Arabidopsis thaliana: one gene and its partners. The protein of the gene in region 2 interacts with the protein of the main gene of each other region in a pairwise test. Each region holds a gene or a part of one and is shown on either strand. Other genes may lie near its edges. The genes, in order: AT4G16430, TIFY10B and AIB.

What was found.
Region 1: the proteins of TIFY10B (region 2) and AT4G16430 interact in a two-hybrid assay, tested with the Arabidopsis thaliana proteins (one study listed by BioGRID).
Region 3: the proteins of TIFY10B (region 2) and AIB interact in a two-hybrid assay, tested with the Arabidopsis thaliana proteins (one study listed by BioGRID).

What each region holds. Positions count from the first base shown.
Region 1 is NC_003075.7:9,265,636-9,269,390, reverse strand, and holds AT4G16430 (basic helix-loop-helix (bHLH) DNA-binding superfamily protein), read right to left. Parts: upstream 2,132-3,755; 5' UTR 1,886-2,131; intron 1,798-1,885; 5' UTR 1,793-1,797; coding exon 389-1,792; 3' UTR 213-388; downstream 1-212. Other genes in the region: NAR1 (ferredoxin hydrogenase), read left to right, coding at 1-128; ADA2B (ADA2 2B), read left to right, coding at 3,616-3,665.
Region 2 is NC_003070.9:28,148,689-28,152,443, forward strand, and holds the start of TIFY10B (TIFY domain/Divergent CCT motif family protein), read right to left. Parts: upstream 1,759-3,755; 5' UTR 1,571-1,758; coding exon 1,423-1,570; intron 1,104-1,422; coding exon 926-1,103; intron 834-925; coding exon 556-833; intron 469-555; coding exon 411-468; coding exon of another isoform or gene 407-410; exon of another isoform or gene 319-406; coding exon 231-318; 3' UTR 1-230. UniProt on the Arabidopsis thaliana protein: Repressor of jasmonate responses. Jasmonoyl-isoleucine (JA-Ile) specifically promotes COI1-TIFY10B/JAZ2 interaction. Activated by MYC2, MYC3 and MYC4 transcription factors.
Region 3 is NC_003071.7:19,091,378-19,095,132, reverse strand, and holds the start of AIB (ABA-inducible BHLH-type transcription factor), read left to right. Parts: upstream 1-1,759; 5' UTR 1,760-2,245; coding exon 2,246-3,755. UniProt on the Arabidopsis thaliana protein: Transcription activator. Positively regulates abscisic acid (ABA) response. Confers drought tolerance and sensitivity to ABA.

The DNA of each region.
Region 1 (3,755 bases), on a different chromosome or scaffold from region 2:
ATCCAACGGCGAAGAGATTATTCGAGGAGTGGCTTAAAGAGCCTGGTTCCAACGAGGCGAAGAAGTACTTGCATACTCAGTACCATCCGGTCGTGAAAAGTGTTACGTCGCAGCTCAACAACTGGTAGACCGTAGACAAACTGGAAGTGTTCAAATTTTTTGACTGACAAGGCAACAAAAACGGTTCTATATTGTGTATTTAGATAGGAGATAAGTGTGAAGCTTTCTGCTCAAATCTTTATATGTAAAAGACAAATCTCAACATTACATATAAGGAAAATTACACGATCCTACTAAGCTGGAGTTTTTTTTGGTTGGCTTGCAATAGTACATTGATACAACCTCCAACACGGTTACACTTATTACATAGCAGTTACTGCTGTGATAGTTACTGTGATAGAGAGGCAAGGAGCTTGTCCTTCAACTGCTCAGCGGTGCAGCCACCCTGAGGCCGGAGAGTGAATGTGTGAACCACACCCTCCTCTGTGATGGCCACGTTGGAATCATGAGGCATAACTTCATTCTCCCTCAACGTTTGTATCACCTTTGAAACTGGATGAGTTTCCAACGGACAGCTTAGCCTTACAACTGCATCATCATGCCTCTGTTGATAATCAACCTCTGCTGGAGTTATCTGATTACTCTCCCTCCTCTTCATTATCTGCTTCTCTGTTTCATACACCCTGATTTTCTTCTGCATATCCGTGATGTAAGTGATTGCGTCTGCAAGGAGCGAAGCCTTGTCCATCTTGGAGATGTTAGGCACCACCGCTCTCAAAGCGTAGAATCTCTGGTTCAGCTTCTCCCTCCTCTGCCGTTCCGCTTCCACATGGTTTAGAGCCTCTTCTCTTCCATTTGCTGGTTTTCTCCCTCTCTTCCTCGGCTTTTGCTCGTCAGTTAGATACAATGTCTCATCTTTCCCTTGCTCATAACCATACACTTGATTAGAGCCTCCGATCGCTTGCACCTCATACGATTCCAATGAGAAACCCGTGTCATCCTCGGTCTTCGGGGAGAAATTAATACTCATAGACCGAGGTTTTGCTCCACCAAGACTCAGCTGTCGACCAAAGATTTTAGGAGCTTCTTTAGCCTGAACAAAGTCAGACCCACCAAACACTGATTTCACCATCTCAATCACACTCTTATCTTCTGGAATATGTCTTAAAGAACCAAGCTCCACAACTCCAGAATTCACTGGTACAGACAACACAGTCTGAAAACCAGCTGACCTAGCTAAGAAAGACCTAACCCTATAATAACTCAAGCAGCTAGGCAAATCTGCAGCCCAAAGAGGCTTCCCAGACACATAGGTTCCAGCAGGACCGTACTTATTGGTATCACACCTAAAGGAAAAGTACAAAGAAGCCAGATAAAACATGTCGAGATCAGTAAGAGCTCCTGATTTCACCAAACGATGATCTTCATCTGAACCAACGAACGACAAGTGAAGCTTGCGAAGCACACGTCTTTTGATCTCATCTTGCTGAGAGTAATCCTCACCTGAAGCACCCTTTTTGACACGGCAATGACCATCTCCCCAGATCAAGACACAACCATCAGAGCTATTAACGTTGGACGCTAGCCAGAAAAGAGCATAATCCCAATCAGATCCTTCAACAACGTGACGTAACCCTTGTTGGAGATTGGAATCACTTGGTGGTGAGACAAGCTTGGACAAGGCAGTGTTGGAAGCTGAAGCTGTTGAGATGAAAAAGTCGCAAGCTTCAGAGCCTATGGTGGATTCAACCATCGCTCGATCTTCTTGATTCTCCCAAAACTTTTGACCCATTTCTCCTGAAACGTTCATTGACATGGAATATACAAAAATTAGGGTATGGAATCAAATAAAATTAAAGGTATTTGGATTGAGATCGCTGCTTACAAATGAGATAGAAGATGATGGGTTTCGTGAGGAAGAGGAACGAGAATCACGTGATTCTTGCTGAGACACCGAATTTAGGGTTTGTTGGTGAAAAAGCAAAATCCTTTATAAAGGATATAACTCTAATTTATATTGCTGAGAAAGGAATGATCAAAGAGAAGACAAAACCTGAGCTTGGTTCACTTCAGATCTGTAGTGACTTGTTCTGAAATTGACGAAGAAAGAAGAAAAGAGGAAGAGACTATGCGAGAGAGAGAATATGGGTTTAATCGTAATTTAATACCAAGGACATCATTTCCTTCAGTTTTTTAACTGCAAACTATACTTTTGCCTTTTCTTACATACCAAACCACAAGTCATTGTGGTGTAATATCTATTCAACTACAAGTAAACCCATATCACTGGATTTTTGTCGAGATTATGTGTACATGTTGGGAAATTATTTCGTAGTACAACCTATTATGATGGGAGAATCGAAACTCGTCTTCTGAATTAACTTATCGCAAATCACCGTTAATAAGCGGAAAAGGAATTTACACATCTTACAATTATGCGCAAATACAATTGTTAATTGGATGAGTCATGCCATATTCTTGAGATGGTATGATAGGTATCATTACACCATGTAGTCAATCACGATTTTTTTGGATAATGTGGTTTAGAAGAACTAATCGCGTCTAATATAGACAAACTTATTCGTTCAGCAAAACAACAATTCGATATTTTTATTCGATTGACATGAGTCTTATAAAATTTATCACTAGATGTCTAATAAAAAAGGTTCAAACATTTCTAATAATTCGATTTTCGACCAAAATAAGAAACTTTAAATTAGCATCAAACTATCTTATATGGTTGTTTCCTTGCTTAACCTTCTTCCAAATCAATTTTTCAAATTAGCATCAATAAGATTTTAAAATACATCATAATGTTGTTCCGATAGTGTGTGACAACACTAACCATTTATTCCTATACAAGTTTATTTACTTGCTAATTCATTTACTGAAAATGTCCATGAACAAAATACCTAAAAACGAATAACCATAACCCAACCAAATATTAAAGACATCTCCATCAAGAAGAAACCCAAACAGTTTTTCAAACAAAAAGAATATTAGTATTTTATTATAATTTTATATATGATTAAATTTTTATTTTAGCGAACCAATTGAAAAGAGAAAAATATTATGATGGTTTGTATAAAGTATTTCATAGTTTAACGAGAAACATTCTACACTCTCTTTCTTTTCCTTTTATTATTTTTATTATTTTAATAATAAAAAATTACCAATAAAAATGGTCTATCTTAGCTTTTTTTTCTTCATTTTTTTTTCCCTCAACCACCATTCAACAATTAACATAAAAAATAATAGTTTTTTAAGTTGAAGTTATAAGAGTCAATTTAGTTTAAGTCATATGCTTTAGTAATAAGCATGACCGTCTAATCCCAAAAAATCTAAAAAGTACAGTGCCTTAGAAATTTCCTTTACCTCGACTTCCCTAATTTTAATCTTCTCGGTCGGAACTTCTGAATAATATTAGTAGAGATCCAAAACCTCACAAATTTCGACCGAGTTTTGTTGAATTCCGATTAGATCTTTCTTCCACGAAACCCCCCCAAGTACCCATTCCATCTTCTCCGGTGAGTCTCCCATGTTGGCATTACGCTAGGGTTCTTCTTCTCTGTGGTTTCGCATAACCCAATAATCCAATTTTCTACTTGGGCATCAATGGGTCGCTCTCGAGGGAACTTCCAAAATTTCGAAGACCCTACTCAGAGGTTTGTTCCTAATTCACTACTCTAATTTCCGATTTGGGGTTTTTGTGGATTTCTCTTTTGTAATTGCCAATTTGTGCTGAAATTGATTTG
Region 2 (3,755 bases):
CTGGCTAAAACTTAAACCCCAGAAGCAAACATTGAACACTATTGATATTGATTTCATACAAATATAATGAGTTTTCGGGGGAGTTAAACAAACAAAACTACTAGGGGTGAAATTAATCTATAGAAAAAATGAACAGAGGAGCAGCTTGATATTTGTAACGATGGAGCATCAGAAGAATCTTACAAGAAGGTCTCTCAAGTTGTGCCTTCTGGGTCGGACAGGCTCGAAGTTTACCGTGAACTGAGCCAAGCTGGGTTAGTAGGCTTGGAAGACGCTTCAGCTGAACCGTCTATTTGGTATGGTGCCTTTGATGTGATCCTGTTAAAGGTTTACGAGTAGGATATTGAGAAATTCGCTTAACAAGAACTTATGGAATAACAAGATATTATGTTTTCATTAAAATGCATTACCTATCCTTCCTCTTCTCAAGGAACCGATGAAGTGAAGCTCTTCTTGCAATCGGGAGTTCTACAAATCAAAAAGAGAGAAAGTTAGAGAAATAGGACTAAGCCAAGCTCAGAGATGGTTGAACCAAAAGAGGCTGAGATCAATTACCGCAGGCTAAAGAGGCCGGGTTAGGCTGAATTGGCTCTTGTGCTGCGGTTTTTGCAGGACTACAAACAGGATTTGGGCTAGAAGCAATCTCTTTTTGAGAATAAGCACTATGGTTATTGTTTACTTCAGCTGTGAAACATGTGAAGCTTTTGGCACTTCCTTTGTTAGCCAAATCAATGACTTCTTTAGCTTTCTCAGCAGAAAAATCATCAAACACCATAACTCGACCACCGTAGAATATAGTCAACGGAGCAGATTGAGACTCTGGCTTCACAGATCTGTTCAAAATCACACAAAAATTAGTTAAACTGATGAAACATAGCTTACTATATGAGACGATTCTTTTCACTATATACATATAAACACATACTTAGTAGTCTCTTTGATCATCTGTACATCTTCTTTGGTCCCAGAGGAAGAGGAAGAAGAAAAGCTTGATTGTCTCGGAAACATAGTCTTCGGTTTAATGTCTTCTTGACCAGCAGAAGAATCCATTCCTGAAGCTTCACAAGGGAACAGATTCATCATTGTAGGCTGACGTGAACCTCCTGCGAAAATTGATCCAAAAGTAAAGATTATTATCATTCACCAATCTCTCAAACAACTGCAAAACAAAATCTACTTAATGACTAAACCAGGCCTATGGCTTTAGAGGATTATGCTTAAACCAAACACAGAACCATCTCCACAAATTCATACACATACATACATATATAGAAATTGATTCAAAATCCATTAATCATCGATTCTCTACAACGATTCAATTTCCAGACAACATGTAATCGATTCATAATTCGTAATTCGCAACAGGAAACTCAAAATTCGCAGAAACGAAATGAACAGATCTAAAAGAGAAAGGTTGATTACCATTAACGTCGGGCTTGCATGTCATCCCTAAGCTCAGATCTCCAAAACTACCCTTCTCCTTCAGGTAACGACTCAATCGAGTACATGTTTGTGAAAAGCTCGGTTTACGACCAGAGAAGTCCCAACACTCGGCAGAAAAACTCGACATCGTTGAAACCGAAATTGAAATCGTTTCGATTGAGAAATTGGAGCAAAAGGATCTTCCTTCCTGAGTTGTTGAATTTTCTCGAATCTTATAAAAAAACTTAGGGTTCTTGTTTATCTTTCTCTGCCAAGTGCGTTTTGTCACGAGGAAGAAATGGAGGACCTCTTTATTACTTTTTTTTCGCTGGTTGCAGATACGGAAATTAGTAAAATATACTCTTATAGTATTAATTAACATAGAGACATTTAAAACACGTGTTTTAATTTAATGTTTTAACGGCAGACCACTGTTTCAGATCACCACCGTCACCCACGTCCCCACGCTTCACACTTGAAATAACCATTTCACCCTCTTACTACTCCTGTTTTTACCATTTTACCCTTACAAGATGTTCAAATAAAATAAAAAATTATGAAAACGTAAAATCCTAAAATTAATTAGTTCAAACAAATCAATGTTCAGATGAAATTTGATTATGATAGTCTTTCAGTTATACCATTTAGTTGGTTCATATATCCTTTTTTTTAAGATGAATCTCTTGGCATTAATTTATGTATTTTTAGCACTATTAATTAGTCTACTATTTTAATCTCATAGACCGGCGTGATATTTTAGCACTCAAAGAGAATTAACGGTATGATTTGGGGGAAAAAAGAGGATTAACGGCGTTAGATAGAGGGAACACGGTGTGGGTCTTACATAACCAAAACTCCACCACCAATGCAAATTTGATCCATAAATCACGTTTTGTATTTTCCCTTTTATTAATTTTTTTTTAGTGTTTTATTTATGACAACAGTAATAAATAATTACAAAAAGCGGGAAGAGCACGTCTCCTCCATGAATCGCGACCTTACACGTGTCTAACTTAACTGCCCACATTTGAGAGAATTTTTCTTGTTGGTGTCGTAGTCAGAGTAATCACCTGTTACGCGGCTTATATAGCAGCTGTGTTCTCCTACGCACAATAGCCGTTGATCCTATCACTCTGTCTTTTATTCTCTTGTTATTATCCCATGCGTTTGTTAGGAACACACAAATAAGTTTGATTTTCTTTTATAACGTAACGTCCAACTTGTTATTTTATTGACTTGGATTGTAGTAATTGCTAACTCATTACAGGTACATCGAGATAACGTAAGGTTCATAGAGTGGCTCGTGAGAAAATAAGGATGATTGGTTAATTTGGTTTTTAACTGTTTTATAAACATCTTCACAAAATTTTATACATCACAAACATATCCATAAGAAACAAAATCAGAAGAAGCTGCAGGTACATACAATTACAAGGAAGAGGGGTCACAAGAAGAACCCAGAGCGCATAAAGACATCAAAGTCTGGATATTATTTAGAGTATGCAACCAAAAAGAAGAAGGCAAGTGGGGTGGTCACAAAAATGCAAGATAGAGGTCACAAGAAGAATAGAAGAACATAAGCTAATTAAGGAATAGTACTCTATATTCCTGTTTTTACTGTAGAAACTTTATCTACTTATGGCTCTCTTATACAAGGCTGATTGATACCCTTTTAGCCATGTTTTTATACTTGCTCTTGGTTTTCACAGCTGATTCATTCCTCTTCTTTCTTTCACATATTTAACAGAAAATAAGCTTACATATGAAAGTGGTAAAACATTGGGCCCTTGGAATATATTTTTTTAGTTTTTACCTTTCAAAAGATGATTTAGTTACTCTCTATATATGTAATTAACAAAGGGAAAACTGTCAAGAGCTACTAAATTTAAAATTGAGAATTGATTTGGCATTTTTTGAGATTTCATGTTAAACAATAGAAATGTAAAGACTACAAAGATTTCCAATAAGAAGGTATCACAAGAAACAGAATTTTAATGGCGAATCCAAACTCTGATATCTCTAGCACGTTTTAGCTCCTGTCCAAGTCTTTGGCTCATCAGATCTTGATCCTAAGAAACTTAGCTTAGCTCTTGGTAGTTGAACAAACTCTGTTGATTCCCTCGACGTAACACTAGCATAACATGGGAAACTTCTTGTAAAACACTGCACATAATTTAAACACTCAGCTTCATAACAAATTCTTAGTCCATCCCAAATCATTTTAGAGCATTTCTGGACCGACAATACTTCAAAGGGAACTTGCACAAACTTCCAATTCATTATTGCCAATGATCCATCTCAGCCAAAGTAATAAATATAGAAAGGTCAAAAGA
Region 3 (3,755 bases), on a different chromosome or scaffold from region 2:
CAAATCATTTTTGCAATTTACGTTTTCAAAAGGCATATGAGACAGGAGAAGTTATTGTCTGCAATAAAGACCACCGTAGTCACGAGTGTCTCCACTTGACCCCACATTTTCCCTATCATTCGCTCTCTGCCATTCGATTATTGAGCCCTACTCTTATCCGTTATTGTTTTTTTATTCTCGTTGCATAATCTCACTAATGTATATATAACACTCGTTTGAATTTTGTTAAAACTATTTTGTTTTATTTTATATAAAATTACCGAAATTCAATCTACAAATTCAAATTTAAATTAGGTTCTCTACATATCTTAAAAAGATAAATAAGTGAAATTCATAATGATAAAGCCAATTTTGTTTTGTAACTATTATTAGCTTCTTTTTTCTTTTTTTTGAAGCAATGTATCTAATCTATTCTCTTCTAACGAAAGAGTATTAATTATTATAGACAAAAAAAAATAGTATTAAACAAGCCTACGCAAAACACGTTCAGTATTAGGTTATAGTTTTTAGTACTAATTAAAATATGAGATATGAGTTTTTTTGTTCTATTAGAACTTAAGAAGATAAAGAATTTATAAGTTGGTGCGACTCCGAATTACTCAAAAGACACCAATCATCGCGTTATCATCCTAATCTACAAAACAAGAGGTCAAATTTTGCATGTCACGTCACAATATTGTACATTATCATCACGTTTTTTTACAAAGCTTTAGTATATCAACGTATACATTTCAATGTACGAGTTTTCATTGTACTATCTATCCCTAAGTTTGAATTAGGTTTATCGAATCTCTTTCTTTATTTATATGCAAATTTTAATGATGTCATTTTAAATTATTATAAGAAAATATCCCCATACAAAACATGGTGAGGCTTATCTCATGCGATAATACTTTAAAATAGGTTATGAATATAATCATGTAATTATAAAAAAAGTTTTTAATTAATGGGGAGAAAACAATTAGAAAACTACAAACACATGATGATAGAAAAGTAGGTTAAAAGTCCATCACATGGTGCTCTCTCACAGAACGAGACCCTTTTTGTTGAACGTTACTGTTGGGCATGAGATTCACGCAAATCCTATGCGACAAATAATTTTCTTTCCATAAAAATCTAAATAAAGAAAGAACGTACCATTTTTTATATCGAAGTTAAGGACTATATATATACTATTGATAAGAATAATATACTCAGACTATACTATTAATTAAATGGACCCACGTTAATAACGATGTCTGAAATAACCAAAACCCCACCAGACAATTCAGACAATATTTCTTTGTTTCTTTATGCATGTGAGTTATTTTTATTGGTAGAGAAAAAAATAAAAACAAATAATTAATTTAGTACTATTTAGTACATAATAAATTTTAAAATATTTCGACCATGTGATCTATACTTCTTAAGTACATTACTATAATTTGAATCTCTCACGTAGGTACATACACACGTGTGTACACAAAACACTATTTTCTCTAAAATTTACCAAGTGCAAATATCGTTGTTTCACTAAAATCACCATCAAGTATGTATTACTTTTACGAAATTAATCGGATTTGGAGACAAATTCAAAGACTAGCCAGATTTAGGGGTGAGATAATCCATTTGCAAAATAGATTTGAAAAGAGATTTTAGATTTTCTATCTTTATTCGGAGAGAAACAATCAAAGTAAGTGAACTTAAAATCAGGAAACAGAGTTAATAATCAGAGTAATTATTAACCATGGTTAAGTTGAATAACCAAAGTAATTAACGTGCATAAGTAACCATGGTTGGGTTTTTAAAAAGAGCTTTCATACAAACTTCAATTACCCCAGCAAGTCTTGTCTCCTTCTCTCTCTCTCTCCCTCTCTAACTGTATCTTCTTCTTCTTCTTCAACCTTCAGACTTTTCTAGTTGCAACTCTCATTCAATTGTTCAATTTCTCTGTAAAAATCAAAGCTTTTTGGAATCTTTCTTCGGCGAGATATTTCTTCACCGGCGCAAGCTTCTCTTGAGCGTGATTCATCACTGGGTTTGCATTTTTTCCTGGTGGGTATTCTTCAAATTGTTCAAAGCTCCGACCTTTTCTTCCTTAGAATCTGATTACTGGAATCTTGAAGCTGGAGAGACTCGAGTTTATATGGTTTCAAGCATCGTTGAGTCAATCATTGAGTTGTGTAGAAGAAAGGTTTGGTTTTCTTCTCCGTTTAAGTGGTTTTGGGTTTGGTAGGATTTGGTGTAATCTGGGAGATAAAGAAAGATGAATATGAGTGATTTAGGTTGGGATGATGAAGATAAATCGGTGGTTAGTGCTGTTTTAGGGCATTTAGCTTCTGATTTTCTTCGAGCAAACTCTAATTCGAATCAGAATCTCTTTCTTGTTATGGGAACTGATGATACTCTGAATAAGAAGCTCTCTAGTCTCGTTGATTGGCCAAACTCGGAGAATTTCAGCTGGAACTACGCTATTTTCTGGCAACAAACCATGTCTAGATCCGGACAACAAGTCTTAGGTTGGGGAGATGGGTGTTGTCGAGAGCCTAATGAGGAAGAGGAATCAAAAGTTGTTAGGTCTTATAATTTTAACAACATGGGGGCAGAGGAAGAGACATGGCAAGATATGAGGAAGAGAGTGTTGCAGAAGCTTCATAGGTTGTTTGGTGGATCTGATGAAGACAATTATGCTTTGAGCTTAGAGAAAGTTACTGCTACTGAGATTTTCTTCTTAGCTTCCATGTATTTCTTCTTCAATCACGGTGAAGGCGGTCCTGGGAGGTGTTATTCTTCAGGGAAACATGTGTGGCTCTCTGATGCAGTTAACTCTGAGTCTGACTATTGTTTCAGGTCTTTTATGGCGAAATCTGCGGGAATCAGAACGATCGTTATGGTTCCTACTGATGCTGGTGTTCTTGAGCTTGGTTCTGTTTGGTCTTTGCCTGAAAACATTGGCTTGGTTAAGTCTGTTCAAGCTTTGTTCATGAGGAGAGTTACGCAACCAGTAATGGTGACTTCAAACACTAACATGACTGGAGGGATTCACAAGCTTTTCGGGCAGGATTTGAGTGGAGCTCACGCGTATCCTAAGAAGCTCGAAGTGAGAAGAAACTTGGATGAGAGATTCACTCCTCAAAGTTGGGAAGGCTATAATAACAATAAAGGTCCAACATTTGGTTACACACCTCAGAGGGATGATGTGAAAGTGCTAGAGAATGTGAATATGGTTGTAGATAATAACAATTACAAGACGCAGATTGAGTTTGCGGGATCATCAGTTGCTGCTTCTTCGAATCCATCTACAAACACTCAGCAAGAAAAATCAGAATCTTGTACAGAGAAAAGACCAGTGAGCTTGTTAGCAGGAGCAGGAATAGTTTCTGTTGTTGATGAGAAGAGACCGAGAAAGAGAGGGAGAAAGCCTGCAAACGGAAGAGAAGAGCCATTGAACCATGTGGAAGCTGAGAGGCAGAGACGCGAGAAGCTTAACCAAAGATTCTACGCTTTACGATCAGTTGTTCCAAACATTTCTAAAATGGACAAGGCTTCTCTACTTGGAGACGCAATTTCTTACATCAAAGAGCTTCAAGAGAAAGTCAAGATAATGGAAGATGAAAGAGTAGGAACAGATAAGAGCTTATCAGAATCAAACACAATAACAGTAGAAGAAAGTCCAGAAGTTGACATTCAAGCTATGAATGAAGAGGTTGTTGTAAGAGTAATCTCGCCTTTGGATTCACATCCAGCTTCAAGAATCATACAAGCAATGAGAAACT